Linked DNA regions of Cricetulus griseus. The protein of the gene in region 1 purifies or fractionates together with the protein of each later gene. This does not show direct contact. Links are inferred from orthologs where the notes say so. Each region holds a gene or a part of one and is shown in the gene's direction. Other genes may lie near its edges. The genes, in order: Sf3b1, Dhx15 and Prpf4.

What was found.
Region 2: the proteins of Sf3b1 (region 1) and Dhx15 purify together in Homo sapiens (co-immunoprecipitation; 6 studies listed by BioGRID and IntAct, with this or other methods). This does not show direct contact. The link is inferred for Cricetulus griseus from reciprocal best matches to the Homo sapiens genes SF3B1 and DHX15.
Region 3: the proteins of Sf3b1 (region 1) and Prpf4 purify together in Homo sapiens (co-immunoprecipitation; 3 studies listed by BioGRID and IntAct, with this or other methods). This does not show direct contact. The link is inferred for Cricetulus griseus from reciprocal best matches to the Homo sapiens genes SF3B1 and PRPF4.

Annotation. Positions count from the first base shown.
Region 1 is NC_048595.1:409,437,917-409,444,195, reverse strand, and holds part of Sf3b1 (splicing factor 3B subunit 1), read left to right. Parts: intron 1-24; coding exon 25-207; intron 208-338; coding exon 339-450; intron 451-1,901; coding exon 1,902-2,022; intron 2,023-2,325; coding exon 2,326-2,457; intron 2,458-5,487; coding exon 5,488-5,760; intron 5,761-6,279. UniProt on the Homo sapiens protein: Component of the 17S U2 SnRNP complex of the spliceosome, a large ribonucleoprotein complex that removes introns from transcribed pre-mRNAs.
Region 2 is NW_023276807.1:120,438,335-120,444,713, reverse strand, and holds the start of Dhx15 (pre-mRNA-splicing factor ATP-dependent RNA helicase DHX15), read left to right. Parts: upstream 1-2,170; 5' UTR 2,171-2,327; coding exon 2,328-2,398; intron 2,399-6,379.
Region 3 is NC_048595.1:83,459,725-83,466,103, reverse strand, and holds the start of Prpf4 (U4/U6 small nuclear ribonucleoprotein Prp4), read left to right. Parts: upstream 1-2,590; 5' UTR 2,591-2,726; coding exon 2,727-2,753; intron 2,754-3,422; coding exon 3,423-3,600; intron 3,601-6,338; coding exon 6,339-6,379. Other genes in the region: anaphase-promoting complex subunit CDC26, read right to left, coding at 196-248. UniProt on the Homo sapiens protein: Plays a role in pre-mRNA splicing as component of the U4/U6-U5 tri-snRNP complex that is involved in spliceosome assembly, and as component of the precatalytic spliceosome (spliceosome B complex).

The DNA of each region.
Region 1 (6,279 bases):
TGTAACTTAGCTTTTCTCTTTTAGGATTCTGTAATGTTGAATGGCTTTGGCACAGTAGTTAATGCTCTTGGCAAACGAGTCAAACCATACTTGCCTCAGATCTGTGGTACAGTTTTGTGGCGTTTAAATAACAAGTCAGCAAAAGTTCGACAACAAGCAGCCGACTTGATTTCCAGAACTGCTGTTGTTATGAAGACTTGTCAAGAGGTAATCTATTCTACCAGGTTTATACATACATACATACATACATACATACATACATACATACATACATACATACAGCAGGTTTAATTTGTTTAATGGAGAAAATATTGTTTTAAATCATTCTTTCATTACAGGAAAAACTGATGGGGCACTTGGGTGTGGTACTGTATGAATATTTGGGTGAAGAATACCCTGAAGTATTGGGCAGCATTCTTGGAGCACTGAAGGCTATTGTAAATGTAATAGGTATGTGATTGCCTGACTGACTATGTTTAGATTTGGCTTTGTCATTTTCTTTGTATTTTGAAAGTAAAATATAAAGTCGTATTTAGGATTTTTTTTTTTTAAACACTTCAGGGTTGTCAGAGAATGTCATAAAAGTCCCTGTTGTCCATTTGTATTTTACTTGAAAACCTTAAAGGGGAAATTTAGGATATACTAGGTATGGAAATGGTTACTGGGAGAGAGGACCCTTCTAGAACTAGTGCATCAATTAGAAAAGTAATCCAGAATCTTCTGGAAGGGGAGGAGCAACCCTGAGGTTGTGATTTAATTTTAGAAATGTTCTTTATCTACTCAGACTTCTATGTTAAAGTATTTTGATAGGTTATTAGGATTTTTTGTTTGCTGTGAGTTCAAAGAAGAGGACAGCAAACTAGCCTGTCTTTTCACCATAAGTAAAGACACATCTATGTAACCATCTTGGGTATGGAGAGAGAACTTTTTATTTTTATTTTTTTTCAGGAAGTAATGAATGCAAAAACAAAGGCAATCCTGTGTTTAAAATCTCTTGTAGCTGGACAGTGGTGGCATATGACTTTCATCCCTAGCACTTGGAAGGCAGGCGGATCTCTGTGAATTAGAGGCCAGTCTGTTCTATAGAGCTGGATAGCCAAGGCTACACAGAGAAACCCTGTCTCAGAAAACAAAACAAGCCAAAAACCAACTCATTGTATTTAAACATAGTGTCTAAAGTAAGTCCATTAGGACTGAAAGGGTTGGAAAAAGGCCAAGAGTTCATAATACCTGACTGATTGATGATTAGATCTAAGAACAGTTGCATTTACATATGATCCCCAGGTTCAGCCCAGTCTTGTATACTTTAAAGATACTGACTTGCCAGCAGTCATTTAGACGCTTGTGGGTCTCTGGCTTTTCAGAGAGTTGTAAACCATATTATCTGGGAAACATGAGAAAAACGATGGAGAATCAGAACAAGCAGTTCTAGTTAGAGCCTCTGCTAGCATCCTCTTTTTCTCTCTCTTCATAGGTTTAAATACCATGCACATATGCCCTGCATTTCAGGGAGACTGGAGATCTGTTTTGTTTTACAGTTAGAGGGTATGGGGGCCTTTCTGATTTGATTTACATGTCCTCTTTTGCTTATATTGTTGTATTTGATCAGAACATAGGCTGTCCCCATATTTAAATGTCAGTGTACAAATAGCATTTCAAAACCAAATAAAACCTTTTTGTTGAGTAACCCTTATTCTTTAAATCACTGATTTCTTTCATTTCTATGTGTAATAGAAGCTATTGGTAGTTTAAAAAAAATTTAAGTCTAATTAGAATCTGGTGCTTTTATCCATAGATATAGCTCATGAGTTTATGTTTATACATTGCATTGCACAGTAAAAGGGAAAGTGAACAGAGGTTGCACTTGAGGTTTTAATAGTTCCTTGATTTCTGTCAAATAGGTATGCATAAGATGACACCACCAATTAAAGATCTCCTGCCTAGACTCACCCCCATCTTGAAGAACAGGCATGAAAAAGTACAGGAGAATTGTATCGATCTTGTTGGGCGCATTGCTGACAGGTAAGCAGATTATCCAACATCTTTTGTAAGTAGTAACATTCTCATACTTAGTTCAAGTAGGCAGTGTTTCTCTTTAGATTTAGCAGGTTTGTATTCATCAAGCAAGTTTTACTTAAAGTTGCTTACCTAAGTACATATGGTCAGGTTATCCAAAATCACTATTTTTAGGGAAATTTCACTTTGGCTGGTAATAAGAAGTAGCAGTTTAGTTTTGTTTTTTTTTCTTTGAGATGGGGTTTCTCTGTGCTTGGAACTCTGTAGACCAGGCTGGCAACTCATTTAATATTATTTTTTTTTAATTAGGGGAGCTGAATATGTATCTGCAAGAGAGTGGATGAGGATTTGCTTTGAGCTTTTAGAGCTCTTAAAAGCTCACAAAAAAGCTATTCGAAGAGCTACCGTCAACACTTTCGGTTATATTGCAAAGGCCATTGGGTGAGTATTTTCATTTTTTAGTAGGTTATAATAAACTCATTGTTGGAAAGTGTTTTCATGTAGACAAATCTTTTGAAGCATAGTTAAATCATTTCAAGAAAAAGCATTTCATTTAATCGATGAACTTTCCTTCCCATTTAAAAATACTTCTTTAAACTCTTAGTAGAACCAAAATAGATGGAATGCTTTAAAATTTCCCCTTCTGCAGTGTAGATATTTTTAGAGAGGGAAATAGTTCATTTTCAGTGTATATTCAGATTTTTGTTGGTGTTTTAGGATATTGCTGAATTTTTTTCTCCTTTTGAGACAGTGTCCTGGAACTATGTAGACCAGGCTGGTCTCAAACTCTGATCTTCCTCCCCAGTGCTGGGATTAAAATCATATTAAGAGCATGTGCCCCCATGCCTGGCTAGGATATTGCTTAAAATATTAAGGGATGAGTACTTCACATCTTTTAATCTCCCTGTTGTCCAATTATGGGCTTCTATTTTAATTGCTCTTAATGATAAAAAGAAGCTTCTCTGGGGCTGGAAAGATGGCTTAGCAGTTAAGAGCACTGGCTACTGTCCAGAGGAGCCAGCTTTGATTCCTAGCACCCACTTGCCTTACAATCCATGTCAGGGGATTTGATGCCTTCTACAGGCATGAACACATGCAGTGCAGGCACACCTGCAGGCAAAACACTCATACATACTAACAAACATACTTTAAAAAGTTTAAAGCTTCTCTGATAAGGGTTGAGAAATGGACGGACTTATGGGTATAAAGATGAAAACATAGGGGCAGTTTTATCATTGTCATTTAACATAATAAAGGACAGTTATATAACACCCCTAATCCTCAAGATGTGGTAATGGTTTTGGAAGAGTGGGATTTAAAGTGGGTAGTAGCCATCTGCAGCAAAAGAGCACTTGTACATGATGGTGTAGTTGCCCACATGAATTTACATCCGTTGTAACTGCAAGCACATGACCTGCACAAGGTCAAGCCAGCAAAACCACTGGCATGGATGAGGGAGGGGTTCATGAAGTCCCTGTCTGAGGAGCTGTTGCAATTGGTGACTGCTGGGGAGAGTCAGTTTTAAAAGATGTGACCTCTGGGAGGCTGTACATGCTTCTATAGCATGCTTAATAGCACCATGTAGACTTAGTGAATTTAACTATTTTCTTTAGATTCATTTTCTTTATGCCTATTGAGTGTTTTGCCTATATGTATATGCATGTATTGACACATGTACATGCCTAATGCCTTGTAGGGTGTTGGATCCCCTAGAGCTGAAGGTATAGATGGTTGTGAGTCACTGTGTGAGGGCTGGGAATCTATCTAACCTTGGTCCTCCAGTAGAATAGCTAGCGTTCTTAACCACTGAGCTGACTCTGTGAAAAGAGTACATAAGGTTGGGGAGGACTCATCGGGGAAGGGAGAGGTGGGAGAGGCATTAAAAAGAAAAGGGTGGGTTTGACAGAAACTCATTATTATGCCTGTGTGAAATTCTTGATACGAAGGGATTTTTTTGTATATTAAACTTACTTTAAATCTTTCTTTGTTTTTGGCATTTAATTTTTTTTTTTATGTATATAAGTGCTTTGCCTGCACACATGTCTGTATGCCACTTGTTATCCTGGTACCCTTAGAGACTGGAAGATAGTATTAGATTCATTGGAACTTGGAGTTAGAGAAGGTTGTTAGCTGCCATGTGGGAGCTGGGAATCATACCCAGGTCCTCTGGAAGAGCAGCCAGCGCTCTTAACTGTGATCTCATCTACCCATTCAACTCCTCTTTTACATATTTTTCCTTTTTTTCTTATTTTTCCTCAGGGTGTAGGGGATGGGGTGGGGCAGAGTCTCACTGTGTAGTTCCTGCCTGGCCTTGAACTCAAGAGATTAGTGTATTCTGTCTTCTGTTGCTGAGATTAAAGGTGTGGGCCAATGTACAGTATTTATATGTAATTCATATCTTAATGCTAACTTCATGTGTTTTTAAAACACATTGTTCCAAGGTTACTCCAGATTTCATCTGCCTTATTAATTCCCTTATGGTTATTTGCTGCTTCATCAGAACCCAACTGAGAGAAGAAGTTAATTGTAGACAATGAAACTATGAATGTGCCATTTTCCAGTGTTCTAGCAAGGTTTAGCTGTAACCTTGACACAGATCAGATTGGCCTGTGACCATGTTGATAAGTAATTGTCTTGATTTTTGACATATGTGGGAGGTCCTGTCTCCTTGTGGGTGGTGCCATCTTTGAGAGTGTGTCTTGGACTATATAAGAAAGTAAGTTGGTCATGATCCTAGGAGCAAGCCAGTAAGCAACATTCCTCCGTGGTTTGTGCTTGACTTCCTACCTGACTTCTCTCAGTGATGGACTATGACCTGGACATGGAAGCTGAAGCAAACTCTTTTTTTCCACAAGTTTTGGTGAGAGTGCTTTCTCACAGGAGCTAAGAGGAAACATTTACTAGAAAATGCTTTGGGAAACAATAGAGAAGATGTAGAGTTAGGTGTTGCTACCTTCAGGGTAGCTACTATGTAAACTTGGTTAGCTACAGTGTGTCTCTGAGCTTTAGCAAAGGAAATTTGTAAAAGCTTGGTGGAGGCAGCCAGAGCTAGGCAAGGAGACCCTGCCCAACATAAACATGGGAGGGGGGCTAATGAGGACAATGAGGAACAGATTTTATGTGTTTTAGCACGGGAGTCCAGAATTTTGGATATTCTTGTTTTGGATAGTCTGCCTGTCTTTGAATTTCACCATTTACATTTCTTTATATTTCAAAAAGTTTAAAGAGTAAAAATTATATTTGAAAATGAGTCCGCCTGAATTAACATTAAGAAAAATCTGACAATTTGTATGAAGCTATTAAAAAAAAACTTACAATTACCTCATTTCCTCCTTCCCTGTATGAAGGTTAGTCAAAAGCTACACTCCTAGTGATGAGAAAAGCACTGCATTTTATCAGAAAGGTTTTCTTTTCTCTGAGAACAAGTTTAATAAGTAATAATTTGCTGACATATTTCTTGTTTCTTTTCAGCCCTCATGATGTACTGGCAACACTTTTAAACAACCTCAAAGTTCAGGAAAGGCAGAACAGAGTTTGCACTACTGTAGCAATTGCCATTGTTGCTGAAACATGCTCACCCTTCACAGTACTCCCTGCCTTAATGAATGAATACAGAGTTCCTGAACTTAATGTGCAGAATGGAGTGTTAAAGTCACTCTCCTTCTTGTTTGAGTATATTGGTGAGATGGGAAAAGACTACATCTATGCTGTAACGCCTTTACTTGAGGATGCATTAATGGATAGGTAAGTACTAAAACTAAATGCAGAAAAATAATTAACAGTTGTTTGCTAGAGTTTATTAAGAGGACTTTTAAAAATGAACTGTTAAAGAAGAAACATTATGGATTATTTCACATAAGAGGTATAATTTCCTACTTCAATATTTGTTGTAGTGAGTTAGTCTCCTATGTGTTAAGCTAAATAGGTTTTGATTCACTATTTTTAAAACAATGCAGGGTGGGGGATAAAAGCTGAACATGAGTTAATCTTTGTGGCCTTTAGTTTTGTTTTTGAGACAATGCCTCAGGTCACTCAGGGAACTTAAACTTAGTTCTTCCTATACCTCCAGAATGTTGGAATTACAGCCATGTACCACCATGCTTTTGTTTGGCCCTGTGTATGAGCTCCATCCTCAGGGGATCATCTTTTATTGCCATAGCCATAGTCTTTCCTATGCAGGTCCCCAATGTTCAGATGGCAGCCATTAGTTTACAGACACTACTTTTGAGCAACTTGGTAAGAGTCCTGCGACATTTTAGTCTT
Region 2 (6,379 bases), on another chromosome or scaffold:
GCTGAGGTATTCCTTCCCTGAGGTATTCCTTCCCTATTTCTTTGGGACTCCAACGTAGACCAAAGACCATCTGAGACATCCAGCTTCACAGATTGAACAACTACAGGATTCTTGGCCTTTCTGTTGGGGGATAGCAACTAGCCAGAGAATAGTCTGTAAGTCACGATAATAAATTCATGTATATTTATGATATATAATTGCAAATGGTAATAATTTTATAGAGTAGCTGTCTCCTCTGACTTGGACATGACCATTATCATATAGAAACTGTGATGATAACTCACATGAGATCCTTCTAGGATCTAGTCCATTAACATACATCTTGGAGAGAAGAGGATGCTCATGGGGCTTTACAAGGCTCAAGAATCTGCATAAGAGGCCCGTTCTGTGCAGGAGATATGGAGGGAAACAACGGACTGTGGTGGGACTGACTTCCAACTCAGAGATCCGATTCCCTCTGCCCTCTGGAGTGCTGGGATTAAAGGTGTGTGCTAGCACACTGGCTTAATAGACTGTTAGTGTACATTTAGGATAGAAAGTTGTATTGGATATTGTGAAAGTAATAAAAAGATACTCATTTTTGCCTGGCAGTGGTGGTTCACACCTTTAATCCCAGCACTTAGGAGGCAGAGGGCTGTTACACAGAGAAATCCTGTCTCGAAAAACAAAAACAAACAAACCCACTCATTTTCTTTGTGTTGACTATTTGTTACAAAAATAGAAGTTGCCATCTTTGATTATTCTGTTGTAGTTTTGAGAATTTGCAAGGAACTAGAGCCAAGGGGCAGCCAAGGGGAGTCTTGACATCAAGCGATACCCTGTGTTTGGATGGGTCCTTAGACTTTTCTCCTGCGCTTCTGGGAATGAACGGAACTGACTAAGCACATAGGCTGCAATGTGGGAATTCTGCAATTTGGTCCAGTGACCAATTGGAGCGGGTTGTGTTTTTGTTTTTTTGCCTTAGGGGTGTGCTATCCGTGATCCCTTAAAAACAGTGGGGGAAGGATCCTATGCTCTCTTGGGTGATCAGACCAAGAGTGAGCCGCAGAGAAGCTGGATTGCAGTTTGGTTTCATCACCCTTGGGTGGAACTGCAGGACGGCTGGCGGCAGCGTCTCAGCTCTGTTCTGTGTCGTTGAGTGTATCTTATAGATTTCATTCCTTAATAAGTCTTACCTGGCCCCATACCTCAGCATCCCGCATTATCCGGCAGAAAGATCCACAAAACTCTTAAGGGTTACCTTTCCTCGCCAACTTGCCATTACAGTAGAGTCTTTTTTGTTTGTTTGTTTTTGTTTTTCTGTGTAGCGTTGGCGGTCCTGGAATGTAGACCAGTCTGGCCTCGAACTCGCAGAGATCCGCCTGCCTCTACCTCCCAGACGCTGGGATTGAAGGCGAGCGCCACCACTGCCCGGCTACAGAAGTGTCTTAAAGGCTGAGGCTAGCCTCCTGCTGAGTTTCAGGACAACCAGGGTTACACAGAGAGACCCAAGCCAAACCAAACCAAACCAGACCGGTAGAGCTAACACTGCCATAGACCTAATATGTACTCAAACGGAAGAAGACTAGGGTAGAGAGGCTTGGAGGCAAAAAAAAAAAAAAAAAAAAAAAAAGGTGCATAGTAAGATTACCGCCAATTTTCTGCACCCTATCCAAAACACCTACAGCTTGAATAAACAGATGTTATCTGCTCTGGGGGCAAATGGGCAAAATGAGTCGCGGCAAATTATCATTTTTCTCACCCTGTTGGGCATAGGGCGTAACAGTTGCAAATTCTGGTTCTGGAGTTACAAAATAGTTGTGCCCTGCTCTGCCACTTATCGTCCTTGTGATCTTCATTATTTTCCTAACCTTGCGGAGCTACAGACCCTAAAAGCAAAAATAAAGACACTGGCGGATAGATTTCCTAAATAGGATTAGGCTTTTTCAACTTTTGAGTGAACTCCAGACTGCAAGGAACAGCGAGAGGCGCGTCTCTGTCCCTCCTAGCCGCGGCTCCGAGAGGCGAACCACTCCGAGGCAGAGGGAGGAGCCCGCGGGGCGCCGAACCTTTCAGCCAATGGCACAGCGGAAGGGGCTGGAGTTCCCGCCTCCGGTCGGCGTGCGCGCGCACCACGCCGGCACGCCCGCGGCGGAGGCGCGCGCGCAGGCCCAGCCCTCGTCGCGGCCGCCATTTTAGCTCCTGGTTCGGGCCGCACGGAGCGGGCTGTGGTGGCGGGAGGGGTGGGGGTCCCCGCGAGTTGAGCAGCGGACCTTTTCTGTGTGGATCAGGCTGCTGGAGTCTCTCTTCTTCCTTCCTTCCTAAGCGTCCGCTCTAGGAGTTCGAGGATGTCCAAGCGGCATCGGTTGGACCTTGGGGAGGATTACCCCTCCGGCAAGAAGCGTGCGGGGACCGATGGGTAAGGCAGGCCGGGGCGCGCGGTCGCGGCCCAGGCTTTGTTGGCTTGTGGCGGGGAGCAGGCCCGGCAGCCGAGCCTTTGTCTAGCGCCGGCCGGCTAGGGGCGTGGGCTGAGTGTGTGCGGCTAGGGCGAGAGGCCTGTGGTGGCCACGAGGCCGCGGGCCGCGAGGCCTCGGTGCTCGCGTGAGGCCCGCAGCCGGGAAGAGCGTCCGGAACCCGGTGCCCAAGGACACCGGGCCGCGGGCGGCCCTGGACGATGGCGGGAGCAGTCTACTGGGCGCTAGAGGCGAACCGACTGCAGGGTGCACTGTTTGGCGGGAGACGACGGGCCTCCTTCCATTGAGGCACTTCAGGGGAGGCCGTTGCCAACTTCCGCCCTCCGCCTGCCCTCCCGCCATCTCCTTTATTTCCTGCTTTGCTTAAAAAATCAGTCTTGCTTAGCATCACTGGGGTTGGACTGTGGAAAGATGTATTTCCCCCCTCCGCTGCATAAGTTACTTTCTATCCCCTCCCCACTTTGGACTCACTTTTCAAAAAGTGTTGTTAAGCATGTATGAGCAAACAACCCACGTGCAGATTGAGAAATGCTTCCACCGATTCTTGATCCGGCAGTTTGGTTCCTTTTCTTAGATTTTCGCAAAGGGAAGAGGTATTTAGCATGCAAGCAGTTGTATTAAAACTATCATTTCCCAGTTTTCCTTTCCCAGTTCCCACTTAAAATGTACTTTGGTTTATATTCCTACTCCCCACTTTAGGCCGTTGAATGTTTTCACTTCGGCAGTATGGAGATCTGTTTGGTTAACTAAAAAACAAAATTCACAGAAGCCCGAATATCCAAATTTGTTGCATGGCTTTATCGTTTTCTTGTGCCCTGTGACACCGACTTATCTGTGGCCTTTGAGTTTTTATTCACGGACAGTCCTTTGGGCTTGATTTCTAATTATCAGTGTGACGTATTGGTCAGGGTAGGATGCGTTCTGATACTCTAATTAGATTGAAATGTTGAGCATGGTGTGCAGAATGTCACATTTTGATTGCGTTGATTTTTTTAAAAAAATTCTTGTAATACTAGGCATTGTGATAGCACAGCATCATAAGACAGCTTCTTAGGCCGTCCTCTCATGCAAAAATCCCAAATGCTAGTATATGAGCTGGTCATAGTACTTAGAAACACAGTGTATTCTCCAAGGGAGAGTAGGGTTACAATGAGCTTTTCTGTGCTTTATATAGTGGCATCTAGAACTCCACTTTTCTCAACATGAAACTTAGGAATGTAGTTAGACATTACCACCTGTCATAATGACATTTCTATTGAGTTGCAAAAGGTGGGGACGACATTTGGTTCTGAACTTCTGTGAAGCTAAAAGAATGTCACGTTTGGCTAAGATACAACTAATTTCCCTTGTCAGAGGTCACATTGGAATAAACGTTGGGAAATAGTTTTTTTGTGTGTATGTTCACCATTCAAAAAGCTTTTATTAGGATTAGGGCTTCCGTGTTACAAGTGTATATGGTGATTCCTTTTTCTTGCAAAACATAACCTTGGTAAAATGGACTTTTTGGGTGTATCATGGTAGCTTCATGTTTCCTCTGAATATTACATATTTGTTAGTATAGAAGAGTTAAGTTCATTTGTACAGTGATTCCTTAGTTTCTAGAGATTCTGGAGGGCAGTTGTTACACTGTTTCCTAAGTTTTTTGAGTGCCTTTTCTTATAGAACTGTTTTTCTGTAGTAATGAGTTTATACAGCATTTGTGCTTGATATCCTTCTCCCACCCCCTCACTTAGTTTAATGCACTTTTGACAGCCAGAGATCCTTTGCCCATCCCTTCCTCTCTCCCCTCCATTCTTGGTTAGTGTATTTGACAGCATAGGCCTTTTCAATTTGTGAACCCAGCTGTCACCAGACCCTGTCTTATCTTTTCAGTACACCTTTGTGTGTGTGAATTCATGCCACTGCTTGTGTGTAGCTTTCAGAAGAAAACATGGTACTCCGTTAACCACCTTCCACCAGATGGGCCTTAGGGGTCAACTTAGTGTTTCAGTCTTGGTGGCAAGTGGCTTTACTGGCTGAGCATCTCAACAGCTCTGGAAGAATCTGAAGAAAAGGACATTTTCATTCTAACAGTTTTTTTTTAATATTTCTGATCAGAACTTTTAATTACAGAAGAGGACCTGATACTGTTGTAGGTGCTTTGTATGTAGAAGTGTGTTTCGGTGCAACCCTGTGTAGTAGCTAAGATTAAATAATTAGGTGCAGTGGACAAGAAATGTTCTTATATAAAGGTATAAAGGAAAAGAAAGCAGGAAATTCCTCCAGATCTTCATTTCTTTCTTTGGAGAGCTTATTCATAAATGTGAACTGTAATACCAGTGAGCTCTTAGGATTTGTGTGGATGTATGCTATGATTTTTTTCACTCATAACCACACTGTTAGCCTTCCCATTGGTTGCATAGGTGCAGCTCCTGTCTTGCTCAATAATGTTAAGTAACTTCACAGGGTTTTGTTATTTTGTAGATGAAAAACATTAGCATCTGTGTGTATATGTATATATTAACACGTGCCTAGAAGTTCTGAAAGTGAGATTGTCAGAAAAAGCAGTGTTTATATAAAATACTCTGATGTAGATGACTAGTTTACATCTTTATTGGCAATATACTTGTGCCTGTTACTATTCCATGTACAATTTAAACTGAGCCATCAGCAGTAACCAGTATTCGTTGGTACAGTTCAGATAGGCCAGAGAACATTATCCCAGTATTAGCTTATTTAATGTTATTAGTTCTGTATCAATAGACAAAACTTGCATGTGAGCAAGGAAACACTGACTGTTCTTGATAAATGTCATAGTGTTGACTAAAGAACTATTTAGAGCTTGCTTTGTCTTTCTTCTGAGACAATGTTTCTCTACATCGCTCTGGTTATCCTAGAAACTCAACTGTGTAGACCAGAGATCAGCCTGCTGCCTCTGTCTCCCAAGTTTTGTGGTTAAAGATGTGTACTTCCACACCAGTATTGTTTTTATTTTCTTTAAAATTAAAAGTGTTATGCTTAACTAGCAAATTCTTATGAGAAAAACTTTTTGTAAGTGCCCTTTTTAAACAAGAAGCTGCATATGGACAAGTCTACCTATGCTTGGAGAGGGACTTAAAAACTTACCTTTGTCATTCAGAGTAGCTAGTGTGAACTGCAAAACTAGACCATTGAAGTAGTTTTCTGCATCCCAAATGTTTTCTTCATCACTTTGCTGAGTTTTAGGCCTTTTCTGTGGTTTTTCAACTGGTTGCCTTGCCCCTCTTTTTTGGGGGTGATGTTAAATTCTCACTTTATTCGTCATCGAATCCTTGTGTTTTGTATTCTATTTCTTTCTCTGATATAGTAATGAAGCTGTAGGTGAAATGTGTCCTGGAAAAGGTGTGTGTTAGTGTAGGTGTTAATTTTTCACATAACATTATGTGGATTGCTTTGTGTAGTATCTCTTCACCCAGGTTTGTAGTTTTGGAAAGGTTAGGTTTGTATCTTAACTGATTCCATACTCTTAAATATGGAAGATGCTTGTTCAGTTTCTTTTTGTACTTTATAACAAAATGATAGCTACAAATGTAAACCCTTTTTTAAACTTTTCTGTGTGTGTATATGTGCATGCGTGTGCTCATGCCTGCCCCTGTTGAATACATTGCCCAGTTAGTTGAGACACTGCTGATTGTGAAGCTGTTTTTTTTTTTTTTTTTTTTTTTTTTTTTTTTTCCTGAAGCTGACCGTTTTTTTTTTTTTTCAGCTAGGCTGGCCTGCAAACTCTGAAGATCCACCCTCACCAATGCTGGGTTACAGGCACCACAAGGCCATGCCTAATTTAACAGATTTGAACTCAGGTTTTCTTGCTTTCACAGCAAGTGCTTTTACCCACCAAATCACTAGGCCTGCAAAGGTATCCAGTCCTTGAGCTGTTTGAGTCTTTCTTTGCTTTATAAACTTACATT
Region 3 (6,379 bases), about 330 Mb from region 1:
TATATACACCACACTCACAGTCACATACACACAAAGGAAAGGGGGAAATGGCTAACTATCTCATCTTTAATTAAGCATAGTTAGGGAAAGTGGACAAGCCATACATTCAATCTGCTTTCTATAAACATCACCAGAGATTGTGACCATACCTGGATGTTAAAACCATGGCTTAAATCTCATGAAAGCCAAACTTACCAATTCACAGGAGTGTCCACACGATCTAATGAGGTCCTAAATGGGTAAATCATGCATTAATTAGATGCTTTCTGTGCTGACCTAGAGATGTTTAAAGTCACTGTTGTAACCTGTGAAGAAAACAGACAAGACCAGAGACTATGATAATGTAGTATAAAATCGGAACTCTGAGCCCTGCATGAACGCTCAGCCCAGGCTAGGCTGCAGAGGAGTAGCTAGGGATGTCAATTCTCCATGGGAAAAGGTGTGTTTGTGAATTTGAAGGGTAGACAGAGACCAATAAGGCCACAGAAGTTCAAATCATTTTATACATATGGCAAATGAATGCTTGTGTTACCAAAGCCCATGTTTGTTTCAGAACAAAAACTAAGTGGAGCTAAGTACCCGTGGAAGGTATCATCTTTATGTCCTCCACAGTACCCATAATAAGCAGACAACAAGTTTTGGGATATACTAAGCTATCCAAATAGAAAAACTGAAACTAACTTTTTCTGAGTCCTAGACTCTGCTATTATTTTTTTTTCTCTTTAAAAACTTTAAAAACGTTTGCTTTTTGAAAAAAAATATAATTAATTTTTATTGGGTGTTGGTGGGAGCACACAGCTCCCTGAATAGAGGTCAGAGGACAACCTTTGGGAGTCAGTTTTCTCTTTCTACCATCAGGCTTGGCACAGGCTCCTTTTTTTTTGAGACAGGGTTTCTCTGTGGCTTTGGAGGCTGCCCTGGAACTAGCTCTTGTAGACCAAGCTGGTCTTGAACTCATAGAGGTCCACCTGCCTCTGCCTCCGGATAGCTGTGATTAAAGGCGAGAACTGGGATTAAAGACATGCGCCACCACCTCCAGGCTATCATGTTCTGTATGTAACTTTTATCGGAGGCTCATATTGTTAACTAAACTGTTTACCTCAATTTTTAAAGAACGGAATAGGTTTTAAAACTTCACAAGGCGAGGGGCGGTGATGGGCACGCCTTTAATCCCAGCTCTCGGGAGGCAGAGGCAGGCAGATCTCTGTGAGTTAGAGACCAGCCTGGTCTATAAGAGCTAGTTCCAGGACAGCCTCCAAAGCCACGGAAAATCCTTGTCTCAACCCCCACCTCACCCCCAAAAAAAGTTAAATGATAACAATCTAAGTGAAAGTTCTGCTATAGTGTGCATACAAATAAATTACTGTCGTATGGGACAAAAAACTATGATGTATACAAATGAAGAAACATTTATCTTTTTCTCAGGAGGCTTAGCACAACCAGGGGTTGATATAATCAATACAAAACACTGGCCCATGACATTTCAAATTATTTTATTCTAAATCAGCTACCACCTTCTACCAGATCCCTAAGTAAAGAAATGGAAGAGGAATCCAGCTCCAAAGAAAAAGGAAGAAATAATTAGAAGAAAAGTTTTCTACTTGTGTACACACTGAAAGCCTCAACACTAGAGGGCGATATTGAGTGCGGGTTAAAAGAACTGCTCTCCACCCGCTACTTTAGTAATCCTACTACACTATGGCTCCAGAACGACGGGTTAGCTTCATTTCTCACAATTATTTATTTTATGTACTCTGTTGTCTCGTGACTTGAATGACTAAAATAGAATATGCTCCTTGCGCATAATTTAGCATTTAGTAAGCAAAGCATTCGAAGAGAAAGTGTCCCTATGATTGCATTTGTTTGGGGAAGAGGCTTAAGAGTGGGAGTGAGTCTGTCCAGTTCAGCAAACACGAATATTTTGGCAATCCCCACAATCTTCATGTAAGGATAAAAAGAAAACCTTATCTCCGATGGCCTAGCATCAGTGGAGCGAGAGCTGCTGGTATGCACTCTCCCTGGCGCCTCCCTGGCCCCTTTATCTCAAAGACCACATACAAAGAATACGGTTGTAGACAAGTAACCCAACAACAAAGTAGGCCGCAGCTCCCCCGCCACGTCTTTATTTTAGTCCTAGAAGACTCTTCGAGTTTAATGTCTTCTTGAAGCCCAAAGTCACTGCGAAGCCACGCAGTTACGAGGGGCCCCCGGGAAGACTTCCGTGCCGACGTGGACAACAGTCCGCTTTCCCAGCTCCTAAGCTGCACTAGTCTAGGGAGAGATTTCCATGGCAACACAGCCCTCGGCTGCGAGATGACGGAAGGTCTCCCGAAGGAGAGCAGAGACCCTCGGTTCGCTCATGATTACAGTCGAGATCCACGAACCTACCTCTTTTCAGGCCTCTGCAGCTTCCCAGAACCTCAACTCCCACCATGAAGCCATTGCTGTCCTGCCCGAACTACACTTCCCAGGCTGCTCTGAGCCTCTCTTCCCACACGCCTCTTCTCCCGCGAGCTTGTGGAGACGCTCTATGAGGCCACGCCCCTCGACGCCAGCCGACGTTGGGCAACTACGACGACCAAGATACTTCGCGACTACCAGAGCACAGAGTACGCTCCTGGTACGTTTCCGGCCAGTGACGCACTTCCACTTTGCTGGGCGCGCGGTGGACGGTCTGAAAAGGAGAGCGCGGATTTGGTTAGGGCCTCGAGGCTCCAGAGCCCAGCATGGCCTCCTCACGAGCCTCTTCCACGGTACGGGGCTCCGGATCGCAGCTCAGGCCGGTCCTCTCCCAGAGAGGGCGGGGTCCCCGCGGGAAGGGGCCGTTACCTCGAGGGTCAGGGCGGAGGAGGAAGGCTGAGGGACCCTAGTGTGGAGCAGCCTTTTCCTGACTTCTAAACGCTTTCGTGTGCTACAGCTCTTTTTGCACCACTCTCACTTCAGCCCCGAGCGGTGAACACTGTCTCTAACTGCTCCAAAACACGGTGCTTAGAAGTGGAGACATGTCTTGACTTAAACTGTATGACTCGGGACTTAACGATGAGGCCTCCCAACTTCTAATCCGCTCTGGAAGTATTTGAAATGTGTATTCCAGTAACGTGGTGCACCGAAAGCCACCCTGATTGTTTAGGTTATTCTTGGTATTTGTCCAGTGATGGGCAGTTATTTTTGTAAAACCGGAGATTGCATTTCAAATAAAATAAAGTAAAAGGGCCCCAAAGCAAACCAGATACTTCAAACAGAAATTGATTCGTTGTATTTGTCTGCCAAACTTAACGAGAGTCTAAACTCGCACAAAATCAATCTTGACGGATACCCACCTTGTCCTTTAGCTTTTGGAGAAAATAAAATGAAAGCGTTAGTTTCATTCGTTTGGGAAGCATGGTTTACTAGGACCTTAACCAGGGTCTTTGATTTAACAGGCAACTAAAACTAAAGCACCTGATGATTTAGTTGCTCCTGTTGTGAAGAAACCACACATCTATTATGGAAGCTTGGAAGAGAAAGAGAGGGAACGTCTGGCCAAAGGAGAGTCTGGGATTTTGGGAAAAGAAGGACTCAAAGCAGGCATTGAAGCTGGAAATATTAATATAACCTCCGGTAAGACCCAAATTGTGAATCATCTTTACTTTTTTTTTTTTTTTTTAACTGCCAGGGACTCCAACACAGGGTTTTTTTGCATGCTAGGCAAGTGTTCCACCACTGAACCACACATTTGGCTAGTCAGTTGCCTTTGAACTGCCTTCTGCCTCCTCCCGGGTACTAGAACCACGTCTACACTGCCCTGCACCTTTAATGATCCAATTTTCAGATGAACACCTTCCCAGACCAAGTAACATTAAGATTTATAGGGTCAAAACCTTCGATTCTTGGCCTGGGGGTCTACTTCAGGTGACAAAAGGTTTGCTGTGCAACCATTAGGGCTTGAGATTGATTCCCTGGAACCATGTTTTGTTTGGGGGACAGGGCTGAGGGGTTGGAGCTTTAGCTCAGTGGTTGAGCACTTGCCCAGCAAGCACAAGGGTTAGTCCTCATCTCTGAAAAAAACAAGGCAAAATAACAAAAAGGGGCTGGAGAGATGGCTCAGTGGTTTAGAGCACTAGCTGCTCTTCCAGAGGTCCTGAGTTCAATTCCCAGCAACTACATGGCAGCTCATAACCATCTATAAAGGGTTTGATGCCTTCTGACATGCAGGCATACATGCAGATAGAGCATCATATATAAAGTACATAATTAAATTTTTTAAAACTGAATGTGGTGGTAATCCCAATGTTGAGGAAACATTGACTTCCACATCTGCTCATGCACACATCCGTACTCTTCTGTTCTTACCATGGAGTCTTTGGCTTTCGCTTCTTGGCATTATCCAGAGCGTGTTTTTCTTATATTTCATACAGTTCCTGATACAAGTTACTGATGATCTTTGAAAACTTCAGTGGGTGTTTTGATTCATCAGTTGTATTTGTCTTTGGGAGATGTAGAGTAGTTCTGGCATTGATGCATGACTCAAGCTGTTTATAGTATTCTCTCCTTTACTTTTCTAGTTTGTTTCTTTGTGTCTTTACCTTTCAAGACAGGGTTTCTCTGTGTAGCCCTGGACTGCTCCTGAATGCTGGGATTAAAGGCGTGCACCACCATTGCCCAGCTTTCTAGTTATATTTTTTTTTCAAACCTAGATTAAAATAATGTTTTTTAGTATGAAGGGACAGTAATTTTAAAAGATTTTAAAAAATCAACATGTGTCTCTATGAGGTAGAAAATCTATATTGTGAATTGGATGTATTTCTTCTATAAATGGTACCATGATGTGTAAATTGTTTTATAGCCTACATTTTTTCCCTTGTATACTGTTGAGGTTTGTCTCTTTATATTACCGTCAAGAAATGTATTGATTAATTTTGGTTTTTGAGACAAGATCTCCACTATAGCTCAAGCTGGCCTAGAAGTTGTGGCAGTCTTTCTACTGTGCCCTCCTTGTACTGAATAACAGATGGGAGCCACCATGCCCAGCTTAAGAGTTTTATATTTTAAAAATAAAGTTATGCATATTTGTCATAAGCAATTAGATTAGCACAGAAAGGTAAAGTTTAGTGATGAGTACTTGCCTGGCATGATGGCACACACCTGTCATCCTAGCACTCATGTCCTGAAGGCAGGAAGGTCACAAGGACAGGGAGCATCCTAGGTTGCATAGCTTGAGCTGATCCTGTCTACACACCACTCAGGAGGTGGAGACAGGCTGTAATAAGGTGGAGTAGAGACAAGATCTGAGCCCTTTTGGACAGAGGAAGGGGACTGCTAGTTCTCTGATCTTCCAGCTTTTACCCCACTATCTGGCTCCTGGGTTTTATTGATTAAGATTAATTGGATTTACACTTCAGACATATTTATTAATAAAGAATTAAATCTTGCCTGAATATTTAATATTGCAAGACATGGAGCATTTTAAATGTTTTTCATGGTACATTCATTCATTCATTCATTCATTCATTTATTTATTTAAATCAGCAACTCAGATAGTGAGTTTTTTTTTGTTGTTGGCCCTTCCTTTCTTTCTGACAAGGTCTGTATGGCCCATGTTGTCCTGAAAGTCACTGTGTAGCCAAGTCTGACATTGATCTCCTGGTCTTCTTGCCTCCTCCCATGTGCAGATATTATAGGCATGCACTGCCACACTGAGCTCTTCACCATCCTTCTTTTCTGTTTTGGCCAAGCAACAATTTTAAATAATCAAACATTTTAATACAGTATAAGTGAGAGATAAAACTATTTGATACTTGATGCTGAGGAAATTAAATCTTTTTTTTCCCGTAGCTGAATCATGTCTCTATAAAAGCAAACTTTGTAAAAATGTGGAAATTTGGCCAGGCTCACACCTTTAATCCCAGCACTCAGGCGGATCTCTGTGAATTCGAAGCCAGTCTAGTCTACAAAGTGAGTTTCAGGACAGCCAAGGCTACACAGAGAAACCCTGTCTCAAAAAAGCCAAAAAAGGGATATTACAATTCATAACAGGCTTTTGAGGTAGTGTTCCTTAGTGTCGCATGGCATGACAGACTGTAAGTACATTGCAGAGTTGCACATGCTCAAAACCAAGGTTGCAGCAAAGATTCATGATGAGGCCCACAGGCCCTGCCAAAAGCAACCCTGATTTGTTTTGAATTTGATTTTGGATTAATTGTTGGTCACTGCATCTTCAGAAACCCTTCAATATTGCTGAATTCTTCAACAGCCCCACAGTTACATACCTTATGGCACTCTATCCAATATAAGAAGCTATATTCTAGGATACAGAGACTGATTGTTTCTTTCCCCCATGTTGCCTGTCCTTTGCATAGGGGAAGTATTTGAAATTGAGGAGCACATCAGTGAGCGGCAG